2 linked regions of the Diceros bicornis minor genome follow. The protein of the gene in region 1 purifies or fractionates together with the protein of each later gene. This does not show direct contact. Links are inferred from orthologs where the notes say so. Each region holds a gene or a part of one and is shown in the gene's direction. Other genes may lie near its edges.

Region 1 (6,925 bases):
AGGATGGGGGACGAAATGCAGAAAAGAAAACAAGTCTGTTGGGGGGCCTTGAAAAGGTGAGTTGGGGCAAAGAGTTAAGATCAGACCCTCTGGGTGGAGGTGGGCTTTGTCTGAGCCTCATAGGACATGCAGGATCCATGCACCTTGCACTCCAAGGTGCCGGGCTCAGGCCCCAGGCACCCAGCTCCCTGTCATGCCGGAGGGAGGGTCCTCTCACCAGCCGGGCTGAGGCCCTGTCTGTGACCACCAGCTGTGGGTACGAGGCAGGCAGGTGGGGCCTCCACAGAGTTAGGTGAAGAGTGTCCCTGGGCCGCACCCTGCAGGCCCAGGCCTGGTGTGCTGTGAGTATGTTACAGGAGAGCATATTTGACCTCGGGGTGGGTGGGCAGGGAGCCCCGCTGTGGGTGTCCCAGCCAACTGGTGGGCATTGGCTTTCCTTGCAGTTGTACCTAGAGGAGGGAAAACCAGGGGCAGCAATAGACCCTCCTTCACCTCAACACCCCACTGGGATAGCAGAGTGCAGTGGTAACTATTATTACCCCCATTACAGAGGGGAAACTGAGGCACCAAGTCTGCCTCCAGCCTCTGCATCACACTGCCTGCAGGGGGCACTTCGACCCCTTCCCACACGGGCTCTGACCATGTCTGGCCCCAGGCAGGGGCCTGAGAAGCCTTGGTCAGCAGTCCCCAGAATGCTGCCTGGCTTTCCAGTGCCCCCAGGACTGCCCTGTGCTCCTCCCTGAAAGGCCCCCAGGGCCAGGGTTTCCCGTCCCTACACTCAGCCTCCACTCCCAACAGCTGCCTTCTCCCTGAGTCCCCTCAGCCATCGGGATCCATGGTCACAGAGCATCCTGCCCTACTTCTTACCCCCAGCAGCAGCTCCTCCCCACCTGGGCAAGGCTGTGTGGCTTGGATCCGTGCTGGGATCCGTGTCTGTGCTGGGCTGACCTCCACCCTCCCCGCCCTGTGCTGTGCTTTGGGGCCAGATCCAAGGGGCTCCAGGCGGGCCTCACGTGCTCAGAGGCAAGGAATGCTGCAGGGAGCACCCTATCTTGCGCTGGGGGCGGGGCTTTGCAAACTATTTTAGTCACTCCTCACAGCCACCTGAGGGAGGGACACACTATTTTGGCCCCCATTTTACAGATGACAAAACTGAGGCTCAGAGAGGTAAAATGACTTGTGCAATGTCACATGACTATAAGTGACAAATTTCAAACTCAGGTCTGACTCACAGCAAAGCAGAATCCCATATCAGAACCTCTCAGGGAACTTTTTTAAAAAATGTAGATTTTTACGCAGGTGGGCCCAGGAATCTACGTATGGATAAAAGCTGCCCTGGCAATACTCCAAGGGCGCCTGCAGGCAGGGGTGGGGGGCACTGACCACACTGTGATGCGCCCCCTCCCCCAACTCCCAGAGAGCTCTCAGCACCTGTAGCTATGATTTATTGAGCACCTACTGTGTGCTGGCACTGAGCTCCACCCTCACATGTGCTCCCTCTTTTTACTCTCACTCTTCCTTCTGAGAGGGGGATGTTTACAGTTGGGGAAACTGAGGCTCAGACAGAGATGACTAGGGGAAGCCAAGACAGGAAGCAGGAACCTCCTGCAGACTCCTGTCTCCTTGGGATGCAGAGAAGAAAGGGGAGGGGCTTCCTGGGGACTCACAGACTGGCACAGCTGGGATCTACCCTCTGACCTCCCCTGTGGGACCTCAGGGAGGCCACATCCATTTCCTCTCTGCTGGGTGAGGAAGCTCCTTCCTGCTGCTCTGATATTCTGGATCCTGAGCCAACGCCCAGGCCCAGGCAGGGCTGAGTCACTCCCTTCCCTGCAGTCCTGAGGCCAGCAAGCCCAGAGCCTCACCTCTGCCCTCTATTGGATGCCCCTCTGGTCAGTCCCTGGGCATGCACAGTGTGGGGGGGTATGCACCCATGCCCACGCATGTGAACATGAGTGTATGCATGTGTGCATATACATGTGTGTGCAGGGGTATACATGTGAGGCCCCCCCACATCTTTTTCTAAGAAGAGGGCAATGCCCCCACCATGGTGTCAGGTGTCCACTCAAGGCCCCAAGGGTGGTAGTGGAGAGAGGGTGGAAAGGCCTGAGGAGACCCAGGCAGGAGCGCCACCTCAGTGGGTCATGTAGAGCCCAGCCAGACATCCAGCCTGTCCAGTGTCAGCCAAGGTCTGGCCATGGTGGTCCCTGTGAGGCACGGGGGCGGGGCTGGTTGGAAGAGTGGGCCAGGCTACCCCTTTTCCTTCTGCATTCTCCTGAATGCAGTAGTGGCAGCCACAGGAGCCTGTTTGTAACCAAAAAGTCCCCCTCAGCCTCTCCCTTCCTACTCAGCAGCCTTGGTAGCCATTAGCACCTGAGGTAGGCCCTATCTGCACCTCCATGGCCAAATCCAGCCCCATAAATCAGAGGGCTGGAGGCCCTGAGGGTGTGCGGCAGGCAACAGAAGGTCTGGTGGCCACAGGGTGGCTCTCCTGAGCTGGGAGCACTGTGCCCTGGCCTCTTGCCAGCAGGCCCGCTCTGGACATCTTGGCTGGCAGACCCCACCGCCAGCCTCTGTCTTGGCAGCTCCTCCTCCTCCCCGCGAGGGTGACTTCACTTTGCAGATCTCTTGTTCAGCTCTGAGCCCAGCCAGGCAAGAGGGCGGGGCTCTGTGCACAGGAGGAAGAGGACACCCCAGGCCAAGGTACACTGGACCATCCCACCCCAAGGCCCCATGGGTTTCCATTCCTCTGCACCTTGGTGGAGGCCAGACCTCAAAAGGCAGCTAGAGGATAGGAGGAGAACAGCAGACTTTTCCCACAGAGGTCTGGAACACACTTCCAAGCTCACCCCAGGACCCTCCAAGTTAGAGGTCCAGAGCCTTCTCCTCCTTAGGATTGCATGTGTTTATGGGCATCATTTCTTTCGGCAAAAATTAAATTCTTTGGGGCTCCAGTTCCTCCCTGCTACTCTCTCCTACCCAATCAGTCCCTCTTCCTAAGAGTTCTATTTGGAAGGGGGAAAGGGTACCCATCCTCCAAGCACCCCATTAGGCCACCAGCGCCAGGTCTCTCTGAAAGGCGTGCCAGGCACCAAGTTTCCTGCCCCCTTTGGTTCGACCAGCCCTAAAGAGAGGGCTCACAAACCAGCCTTCCTACCCTCTCCCCCAGCGCGACCGCCAACATCGTACGTAAGCCACGCGCCAGGCTCGCCCCAGGGGTGCGCAGAAAGCGCTCCGGCCTCCCTTCCCTTGCCCCGGCTCTTCCGCTCTTCCCGCCTCGGGTCCCAGGGCAGGCCGCGCTCCCACCGCTCCTCCCTCCCTCTGAGAAATGGCGGAGGATGCGCTCCGCGCCGTGCCAAGAACCTGGAGGCGGGGTACCCGCCTAGTCTCCATGTCCTCTCGGGCGCACACCCAGCCAGTCCGCCCAGACTCCGCATCCCGGCGAGGTTTCCCTGCCCTGTCTGGGCGGCTGGGAAGGGCGAAGCGCAAGAACCGCGAGCGGGTGCACAGGATGAGAAAGAGTGGCTGTGCGTGCGGAGGTGCAAGGATTGGGGCTGCGGGTGGCAGGCCCGCATCCCGCGTCCGGCACCTCGTTCCTACTCGCGCCCCGCCCAGCCCGCATCCCGCGTCCAGCGCTCGTCTCCTACCCGCGCCCCGCCGGACCCGCAACCGGTGCAGCCGGACCGGGTACCCTCGAGCCCCGCCCCTACCCCGCACCCCGCCCGCACCCTGGCCCCGCCCGGCCTGCCGCCCGGCCCTCCCGCCGTCCCCCTCACCGCCCCGCCCCGCCCCTGCCCGCTCCTCCGGCGCAGTCCGCGCCCGCCCCGCCTCAGTCCCGCGACCCGAGCCCGGCGCAGAGCAACGGAGAGCGCCCCGGAGTCCGCGCCCCGACGCTCCGCGCCCGCAGTGTCTGCCGCGTCCGCCGCGTCCCGGGCGGGCATGGGGCGGCCAGGCTGAGCGCCGCACCCCGCCGCCGAGACCAGCCAGCCCAAGCCACCATCCCTCTGGCTGCGGCCCCGGCGCGCACGGGCGATGGGGAAGGCGACGGCCGGCGCCGCGGGGCTGCGGTTGCTGCTGTTGCTGCCGCTACTCGGCGAAGGTAAGTCTTGCCGGCGGCTGGTGCCCGCAACAGCCAGGGCGAAGTTGGAGCCGAGCAGCGGAGTGGACGCGTTCGGAAACGCATTCTGTGTGCCGCGGGCAGCGGGCTGCGCAGTTGCCAGCCGCCCGGGCTCGGCAGGGAGCGAGGTGGTGCGGCGGGCAGGGCGCCTCGGAGCCGGGCAGGGCGGGTCTCGGGCCGGAGCGGGACGCGGGACGCGCTGGGCGGCCGGAATCGGTGCCCAGGGCCCGAGCCGCAACTGCGCGTCCCAGCCTGGTCGCGCCTCACGCCGCAGCCGCGTCCTGGAGCGAACTGGACGGATCTTGTCGCCATTTGGGCGCAGGTAGGGGAGGACGGGTGAGGTAGCCCTAGAAAGCCTGCGACTTGCGCGAGGAGTTCTATTTCTGCAGAAGAGTGCCCCGTCTGGTTTCCTTTTCGCGCTCCACGTCCGCGCTCGCGTTCGTCCTTCAGCTCTGATACCCTGGCCCGCCGCGGGGTGCGAAGAGGATCTGCCCTTTTATAAAAGGTTGCTTGTCTCTTGTGCATTTTTTGCCGCACTAGTCTTTAAAAAACCTAAAGCCTGTGGTTTCTGGGGAGCCTGCCCTCGAGGGCCCGCTCAGACTGGCCCGGCGCAGCCGGCTGAGGGCCCTCCATGGGCCAAATTACACCCGGCAGCTTTAGAGTCGCGCGCCGCTGCCGGGCAGGGGCACCTGAAGCTGCGGCCTGTAGGACCATATGACGGCTCTGGGCCAACCTTTACCAAGAGCTTTTGACCTGCTTGGGGTCGGGTAGGGCTGTGTGCCGCCAGCGTCGGTGCTGGGAGCATTAGATGTGGCCTTGCAAAAGCTGGTCACTGCCCGCACCCCCAAACCCTGACAGGATGAACCCCAAGGCAGTAGAATCTCTGACGCCTTGGCTACACCACGGTCCCTCAAACCCGCCCTGACTTGCTCCCCTCCTGCAGTACTATGTGTGCACCAAGTTTCCCTCTGTGGGGAAGGAGCCAGGCCACCCTCCCCCACTGCTTACAAAGGGCTTTCTCTCCCTATGGCCTTTGGTCACCTGAGAGTTGTGGTCCCCTGCCTCTAGCCCCCGGTCCTGCCCAGACTCTGGATTCACAGGCCTGCCCAAGTCTTCGTTAGTGTGGCTGGATCCGGGGCTCAAGGAGCACCTACTGAAGCCAGAATGGGGTCCTCAGTCCGTCCTAGGGAGGACAGGAGAGAGACCCTTTCCTTGCCCTGGGGAGGAATAGACAGAGAGAGTCTGTTTCCAGTATTGGGACTCCCGGGTCACAGTGCTGCAGGGGGAAGACAGGCGGGAGGCTGAAGGCAGGGCAGAAGTAAACACAAACAAGGTGTTCTGAAAGTCTCTTGTAACTCTGGGTTGCAACTTTGTAGTTGTGGGCGTGTGGTCAGGTGTGAGCCCGAAGCCTGTGGTGCTGGGCAGCCTGTGCTGGCCTCAGCAGCCTACAGAGGATTTCCCCCTACCCTTCCACTGCCTTGCACTTAGCCTGGGGGCCCAGTGAGGCTGTGGGAGGCTGAATTGAGGGTTGGCCTGTGGCCCTTGGCAGGAATGCAGGTGGCTTTTCCACACCCCTGGCCCATGGTGTTGGGTGGCAGAAGACAGGCTCTCCAACCCAGGGAAAGTGAGCCCCCACCCATCCACCCTTCCCTTGTGATGACAAAGAAACCATGATTGGTGGCACTGAGATTGGAGAGGTGGTCCTGCAGCATCCAGGGAGAGGCAGCTGGGGTCTTTGGAGAGGCCTTGGGGGGCCCTTTACCAAAAGCAGCAACCCTGGAGCTGGTGAGCCTTGCTCTCGGTGCGCTGCTCCAGACTGCCACTGCTAAGCCCGGCTGCTGCACCCCGACCCTCCCAGACTGGGCGCAGCTCGGCCTGGGGGCGCCCTCTTGTGGACGCAGTGCTCCAGTGGCAGGGCCTGTTGCCTGGGGGATGGGCTGGGTCTCCAGAGGATGAAGGCGGTCCCCTGCTGGGCCAGACACCTCCCCAAGACAGGAAGCTCCCTTCTGTGCCAGGTGAGATGGCAGGGACGTGACCCAGATGAAGAGGCAGTGGGTGAGACCAGAGCGCAGGGGCAGAAGCAGCTGCCTCAGGGCTGGCAGGGGTGGGCTGGAGGGCCCAGGGATGCCCAGAGCAAGGCCATGGGACATAAACAGACCCCATGTCCCCGCCCATCCCCGTGTGCACACTCTCACTGTGTGTGACCACACAAACCTTCAGAAAAAGGTGCCAGTGGAAACACAGGCTCCCAGAGTAGGACAGGACTCCTTCTCCCTCACACCCTGGTATCTGTGCACGCACACATACACACCCTCACATCTATGCTCACACTCACACTCGATCATCACCAGGACACACTCGTGCCCTTCCTCAAGGATATGTGATCATGAGGCCTGTGGACACACACCCACTCCCTCAGCGTGACCTGGCCCCTCACACTCCACCCCACCCCCACCCCCACCCCAGGATCTCAGCGTCTCTCCCTGCCACTCAGGCACACAGAGACACCTGCCCCTCACCACCTCATACACTCAGGGCAGACCCATCAGCCCCAGGTGTCCTGGAACCAGAGCAAGGGAACCTCCATCTAAAAGTTGTTCTTAGAAGAGTTTTGCTGCTCAGCCCAGGTACAGCCATCCCTGTTGCCTGGATGAGGAATTGGAATCCCAGCTCCTGGGGCTCCCCCTGCGTGTCTCAGGCTGACCCCTCACCTGGCACCGTCTCCCTGACTCCCTGCAGCTCTCAGCAGGTCTCACGTCTCTCGTCTCCCTGGCCTGGCTTCTTGGGTCCCATTTTGCCCAACACCTC
Region 2 (7,488 bases), on another chromosome or scaffold:
AGGAAGATTGTTGCTGAGCTAACATCTGTGCCACTATTCCTCTATTCTGTATATGGGACTCTGCCACAGCATGGCTTGACGAGTGGTGCATAGGTCCAGGCCCAGATCTGAACCAGCAAACCCTGGGCCGCTGAAGCGGAGCACAGGAACTTAACCATGCCACCGGGCCAGCCCCCGCCATGAGAAGTCACTGAAGGAACAGAATGTCATGATATGAATGATGTTTTAGGCAGCACAGAAAAGAGCTTAGCCTTGAAAATATTGAGTAGGGAGGACTGCTCTTCAGACAGGAGGAAAGAGAGATGCATGATGATGTCTGAGAAGTGAGTTTTTGCAGAGAAAGTAGAGGTCCAAGGAGTTCACGTTGCACAGATCTGCTCTTCTCTGTGATTTTAGTGAGGGGGAGCTGGGCAGCACTGTGTAAGCCTTTCTGTTGCTTTGCCCCCATGGGGGCTCCCATCACCCACGAAAGTTGTCCCTTGCCCTCTCTGGTCACTGCAGTGACTTGCCACCATTTACTGCCACCAAGGTTCTTCTCCAAATCTTCTCTTCCTTGCCATGCCCTCTTCTTGATTTAGAGTTTTACTGCTAATTCCTCCAGGGAAGAGAGAGTAAATAAAAATTTTCTAGAACTTAATAAAGTCTGATCAGTCTCAGTTCCTGATCTAACCCCTACAGTCCTGAGTCTCTCTGAGGTGATAATGGAAACCTATCCTGGTTATGTATTGCTGTGTAACAAACCCCCAACAGAGTGGCTTAAAACAATGACAACATTTGTTTTGCTTATGAATTTGTAATCTGGGTAAGGCTCAACAAAATTGGCTCATCTCTGCTCCATTTGGCCTCCATTAGGCTGGCTTGAAAGCTGGGGCTGGAATCATCTGGAGGCTGGCTCACTCACAGTTGATGCTTGCTGTCAGCTGGGCCCTAGCTGGACTGTTGGCCAGAACACCTTCGTATGAGCTCTACATACAGCTTGGGCTTCCTCACAACATGGTGGCTGAGTTCCAAAGGTGAGTGTCCCAAGAGAAAGAATTAGGTAGAAGCTGCATTGCCTTTTATGACCTGACTTCAGAAGTCATGGCAGCATCATTTCCGCTGTATTCTATTTATTAGAAGTAAGCCACTCAGGGAGTGGAATTAGACTCTACCTTTAGATGGGAGAAGTGTCAAAGAATTTGTGAACATGTTTATAAACCACCGTAAACTCACAGGGCTTCTGCACTCTGTCTTTATTCACTTGATTGATGAGTGGAGAGTGGGGACCTCACCTTTTCCCCTCCTTTACACCTTTCCTTGGGGATCCAAGAGGAAGGTTAGGTCTGGAGATATAGCCAAGGAAGAGCAGCTATTCAGGCCTCGAATTAGACACACTTGGATTTGAATCCTGGCTCTGCCATTTATCAGCTCTGTGTTCTTGGGTAAGTCACTCAACCTTGGGTAAGTCTCATTTTCTTCATCTGTAAAATCACAGTATTCTCATGGGTTTATTGCAAGGATTAAATGAATTAATAGATGAGTTACATAATACATAGTAAACACTCAATGAGTGTTAACTATTGCTGATATGATTATTCAATACGTGTTTATTACTATTTAATTAACTCAATCTTAGGTGAGTTCTGGGCTAGACGCTGGGATTGTGAAAATGACTATGAAGGGATTCAAGCTTCCAGGAACCTAAAGCTTAGGGGGAGATGTTTTCAAGCATGTGGGCAGAGAGTCCAGGATTTGGAGTCAGCCAGAACCAATTCTCATTCTGAGTTTGCCCGTAGTTTCTAGCTGTGGGAACTTAGACCAGTCTTTTTTACTTTCTCAGCCATAGTTTCCTCAGTTGAAAATGAGAATTATAATAGAACCTACCTCACTGAGTTCTCAGGAGGATCAAATGAGATAATCTATATAAAAAGCTTAGCACTGTTCCTGGAACATGGTAATTACTTAATAAATGTTAATTATTAATTTCATTTATCAGGAAGTAGGCTAATAAATGGATATATTACAGTCCAACGTGGAAAATGCTCTACTAGATGGGGAAGCAACCTGCTAAAGGAGTCCAGCAGAAGAGATTAACTTTGTCAGGAGTAATCTCAGAAAGCCCAGAGGAGGTGAGGTTGGAATTGGGCTTTGAAGAATGAGTAAGAGTTTTCGGGCAGGGAATGAGGAAAGAGAAGATATTCTGGGTGAAGGGAAGAAGATCTGCAAAGGCATGAAGTTATAGGTGTCGACATGTTTGGAGAAAGGTGATAAATTCAGTGTGGGAGTATAAGGTGTGTGGGATGGAGGGGTTGAGGCTGGAAAAGGGAGTTCAGGTCAAAACATTGGCTCAAGAAACCTGCTGTCTTTATGCCACACTTGGTAGAGTGTAGAGAAAGGCCACTGGCTGGGCTGGAGCAAGGTTTTGTAGGTGGAACAGATGGACTCAGGGGTAGATTTCATGTGTGAATGTGAGGCAGGGCAGTGAGGGAAACAAAGGCCAGCTGCTGAGGAGTCAGGGGAGGAGGGCAGGGTTTGAGTGGATGGAACAAAGTTATGGGATGCAGAGTCCAAAAACCTGCCTCTGAACCCACCTGGGATACTTCTGAGCATCTCCATGATCTTGAGATTGTCATACTATTGTGGCCTTCGTTTCCTATCAGTAAATAATATGGCCTCTCCTATCTGCTACACATAATTGTTGTGAGAAAGAAAAGAGGTGATGAGTATGTAAGTGCTTTGTAAGCAGTAAATAACTAAACAAATATTAGACCCAATGCTATTAGGGAGGCAGTCAACTGCATGGAATAGCACAGCTAAAGCAGAGTTTAGGTGAAGTGGAAGGTGGGGGATATCTGCCCTGGGGTGAAGACAAAGATAAGCACAGCGATCAATACACACAAACACACACACAGACACACACACACACTACAGACAAATACAGCGTTTTGCGTTTTCCACGTTGGGCTGGGTCTACAGGAGGGCAATTGGAAACTCTCAATCCCACCACCAGTGACCCCACCAATTGTCCTATAGATGCTCTCACCTGTCGCTTGGACATGAGGTGGTCCAAAGGTCCAAATCTGGAGTCTTTGGCCGGGCTTCAGGTGTCTGGGGAACCATGAGATTTTGTGAGCAAAAGCTCATGCTGTATAATTCTGAGGCTAAAATCTGTAGTCTCCAGCAGACTGAGAAGGATCTGTGACCCCCCACAGGTTAAGGGTCATTGATTTTCTCACCAGCAATTAATAAGAATAGCTATCCTAGGGGAGAAGGACTGGTAGGAGAAGGGCGAAGATTTTCATTTTCAATTTTCGACTTTTCTGATGTGTTTGAATTTTCTAACCACTACCATGTGTTAGTTTCATTGAAAAAACTGCCATCAGGGGTTGTCTGGGTGGTGAGATAATGGGCCCTTTTTAGATTTCATCTTTATACCTCTTTATATCAAACAAACACAACAAATACTAATAGCTATTATTTTTTAAAAACTCTGAGAGCGTCAGCACACATACAAATCTCTCCATTATGCAAAGTACATCCTCTGTTATGTAAGGTAAAATGTCTACATTTCCTATAAACTACTAGCTTTAATGCAGTAAAACTTGCATTTGAAGTAGAGGAGATGAGACGAAAAAGAAAAAGGCAGGCAATTTCAACTATTTCAACTCAGACGCATAAAAATAGCGTGTCTACGTGTCAATCTTCATATGTACTGTTTTCTGCATTCTCCTGAACTGGCCACTGTGCGAGCCGTTGGCGTTTGATGCTTGAAGCGACGGAACGGAGGACAGGGTTAAATCCACTACCCTCTCCCCACGCACTCTAGTAATTACTCTATTTCCACGTCATGTTTCCGGGTGTGTGTGTCCCAACTCACGCAGAAACTGAAGTTCAAAGCAGGCAGGAGTCACCCATATTCTTTTTGCTGTCCCCAGAAACCCAGTTCAGGCGTTGGGCCCCCTGAGGATCTGGCGATACCTGGGGACTGTCTAACTGGCTGATTCCCACGTGGTAAGTGGCTCCCAACCTCGCCCCCACGTGGTGTTCAGTGCCGGGAGAAGGGAGAGCAGGCAGAAGAGAGCCGCATCAGGGGCATTTAAAGTGTCTTGACGTCACGCACTGCCAGGAACTCAGCTGAGTTTTCAGCAGGACATTCCGGTCATCTTCCCTCCCTCCCCCCGGGCTTCTGCGCCCAAAGCCTCTGCTCTTCCCTGTTGTTGCGGAGGGAGGAGCAGTAAGCCTTCGGAACAGCCAGCATAGGGGCGTTCCCAGCCTTGTCTTGGCTCCGCCCTTTCAACCAGAGGCTCTCCTCATTGGTCGGTGGGTGGGGCTTTGGGTGTCCCGCACACGCACTAGGGCCTCTGGGTGGCCGAGAAAACTGGCCGTCTCATGAATTATGCAGCAGCGGCTTGTCCCGGCCAGGCTGGGGCTGGGCGGGGATTGGCTGGAGGGGCTGTAATTCAGTGGTTTCCGGAGCCGCGGCGGCGTAGACCGGGAGGGGGAGCCTGGGGTTCCGACGTCGCCGCGGAGAGAGTGAGCCCGAACCGGATCCTTGACGAGCGCCCCAGCACGGCCCTCTCTCTCCGCGTCTGCTAGGAGAGGCCCCAAGGCCTGAGGGAGACCCGCGGCCTAACCCCGGCGCAAGCGCAGCCCCGGCCTGTCGGGCCTCAGCCCGTGAAACAGGTGAAGGAGGTGAAGGGTGGGGCCGCCCCCCGACGGCCCCCAGACCTGGGGACCCCGGGGATACCGGAGGGGCCGGAAGCCTCTCGGGTGTTTGGGGGAGCTGTGGATGGAAACTTCAGCGGAGCGGGGGATTACGAGGGGACACGGAGGGTCGCTCTGAAGGGACAACTCCCCGGGATGACAGGAGCGGGCCTCTGAAGGGACAGGGGGCACTGGAAGGAAGTTTCGTTCTTTGGAGAAAGGGGGGACGCCGAGGAAGAGGGAGAACGGGCTGGAGGGGGAGTACCTTGGGGCGAGGGCACCTGGGGTGGGGGTGGCAGGAGTGAGGGACAGCCCCCCGACTTCCTGCTCCCTGGGGCTCTGGGGACGTTCCGGCCACAGGAGCGACTGTCACGCCGCGGAGATCACCGGGAGGGGGGGTTGGAAAGAGCCTCCTCCTGTCCCCCGGCGGGCCTGGCGGCTCCCGGCTGAGCCACTTCCTCCGCCTTGCCCTGTTCCCGCTCCTTAGGAGCCAGCTCTGCCGCTCTGGAGGTGGGAATAGGTGTCTTCCCTTACAGCCTCACAGGCTGGTTGGTTGTGCGTAGGATTATTGCATAAGAATCGAGTTTCCTGTAGGGAAATTGACAGTCTCGTACTCTTTCTAAATTCCCTCCCGTCTTTTTCTAGGTTAAACCGTGCTTCCCTCCTACTCCTTCTGAAAAAACATAATAAAACCCCCATCAAGCCAGCTCTAGAGAGAAATAAACCTCTTTCCTCCTTGACATTGTTCTTTTATAAACACCTGGTACATTCAGCCAGAAGATAAATAATTGAGCCCTTGCGTTTACGGGATTGTGGTATTGCTTAATTGAATAGGACAGAATGAACCAATCGAGAGTGGGAGTTTTCTGTCTCAGAGCCAAGATCTTGGGTAAACGCAGAGGAGAGGGAAACAAAGACAGGCTGGCCTTGGCAAAGCCATGTGTGCAAACTTTACCTGTGTTTGGGGGTGTGGTTGGGCTTAAGTTAATAAAATTCCAACCGTCACCCAAGTTGCTTCTCCATGTGTAGTACACATACATCCCTCTGTGTTGTATCAAATGGGTGTATGGTGTTGACACACTTTTTCTTATTAAAAATGTATCTAACGTACCTGCTGGTTTTTATTGTGTGTGCATCTAAAGGGTATATTTATTCTGTGTATGGGATGTAACTTTGGGGCTGACTGTGCTGATAAAGCATTGATTTCAAGAAATCAGAACAGTAAATCATCTCAGTCTTTTATATGTGAATTTAGACTGTTATGACTTGATTCTGCCAATTTTCTATTTTATTTTATATTAAATGTGTGTGTTCCCTGAGTCAAAGGTTATTTCCTTATTACATGTGCCAGACTGGAGTAGTAGCAGAATTTTTGCTTACACATTTGTATAGTGGGATGGGAGGAAGAAGTCTGCAATACAAAAAAAAATTGTTGTAGATGTTGGAGGGCTGATCTTAGCTTCTATATTTGTTAGCACATCCCCCACAAAGAACCACTAGCAAATTCATGAATATTTTACTTTTATATGTAGTTCTTTTGGGAAGAATAACTATTTAGAACTATCCAGTTATGACTTGACCCACAAAAGGTAAATGGTTCATATAACGTCAACCCCGTTTTGGTAATAAGGAAATTGAGAACAAAGGAAAAAGACCCTTGCCCAAGGTAGCAGAGTGCCGTAGTGGTAGAACTCATCCCTTCTGTATCTTTTGTGTTCTTTGACTATCTATGCTTAAGTATTAGGTCTTGATTTAGAGTGAGTGTAGGCCCTGCTGGGAAAAGTGTTACTGAAATTCTAACATATACCTAGACAGTGAAATACTACCAATAGGTTGTAAGACTCCAAGGGTGATAGTTAATAAACAGGTAAAAAAAGAAGTACAAATCGGGTTTGCTTAGGTTATTTTTCTGTCTAACTGCTATGACTAACATGGGAAGTGACTAACTTTTTTTATTCTTATTGTTATTTTTTTAATGATTATTTTTTATTTTTTTTGTGGAGAGGATCAACCCTGAGCTAACATCCATGTCAGTCCTCCTCTTTTTGCTGAGGAAGACTGGCCCTGAGCTAACATCTGTGCCCATCTTCCTCCACTTTATGTGGGTTGCCGCCACAGCATGGCCTGACAAGCGGTGTGTTGGTGGGCGCTGGGGATCCGAACCCAGGCCGCCAACAGTGAAGTGCGCGCACTTAACTGCTATGCCACGGGGCTGGCCCCTGGAAGTGACTAACTTTTTAGTTGGCATAATTTACCATCAGAATTTAGCTATTTGCTAATGGAAAGAGATATTTATTTAGGCAAGCTTGTAGGTGAAGGATGGTCGTGACCTAAATGTCCCTTAAACCAAAGTGCCTTGTGGCTTGATCAGTGGTCATTTGTGTCTCCAGAAAGTTGCTGTCTTCTCCCTGCCTCTGAGTGTCTTGACATTCAGATGTGAAGTGGGGCAGAGGTAGGGACCATCACTCCAGCTGCTGAGTCCAGCACCTTTTTATCTTATGGCTTTTTCAGAGGTAGTGTACAAATTAACAAATATTTACTTTTTGCATCTTTGTGAAAGTTGCTATGAAGAATAAGATGCCTTAAAGGTTCACAGAACTTGCAGTCTACTGAGGCAACTTGATAAATGCTTTATCCATACAATGCAACATGTCCTCAGAGAGATGGTGAGACATTAGCCTGCACTGTCCAACAAAGTAGCTATTATATATTAAAAACATATAGCATAGATATAGAACGTTTCTGTTATCATAGAAAGTTCTCTTGGACAGTGCTGCACTAAGAGCTACAGGTCTTCAGAGGAAG

The links.
Region 2: the proteins of RET (region 1) and STAT3 purify together in Homo sapiens (affinity purification with western blotting; 3 studies listed by BioGRID and IntAct, with this or other methods). This does not show direct contact. The link is inferred for Diceros bicornis minor from reciprocal best matches to the Homo sapiens genes RET and STAT3.

Annotation. Positions count from the first base shown.
Region 1 is NC_080745.1:14,922,378-14,929,302, forward strand, and holds the start of RET (proto-oncogene tyrosine-protein kinase receptor Ret), read left to right. Parts: upstream 1-3,915; 5' UTR 3,916-4,032; coding exon 4,033-4,099; intron 4,100-6,925. UniProt on the Homo sapiens protein: Receptor tyrosine-protein kinase involved in numerous cellular mechanisms including cell proliferation, neuronal navigation, cell migration, and cell differentiation in response to glia cell line-derived growth family factors (GDNF, NRTN, ARTN, PSPN and GDF15).
Region 2 is NC_080757.1:41,523,990-41,531,477, reverse strand, and holds the start of STAT3 (signal transducer and activator of transcription 3), read left to right. Parts: upstream 1-4,452; 5' UTR 4,453-4,662; intron 4,663-7,488. UniProt on the Homo sapiens protein: Signal transducer and transcription activator that mediates cellular responses to interleukins, KITLG/SCF, LEP and other growth factors. Once activated, recruits coactivators, such as NCOA1 or MED1, to the promoter region of the target gene.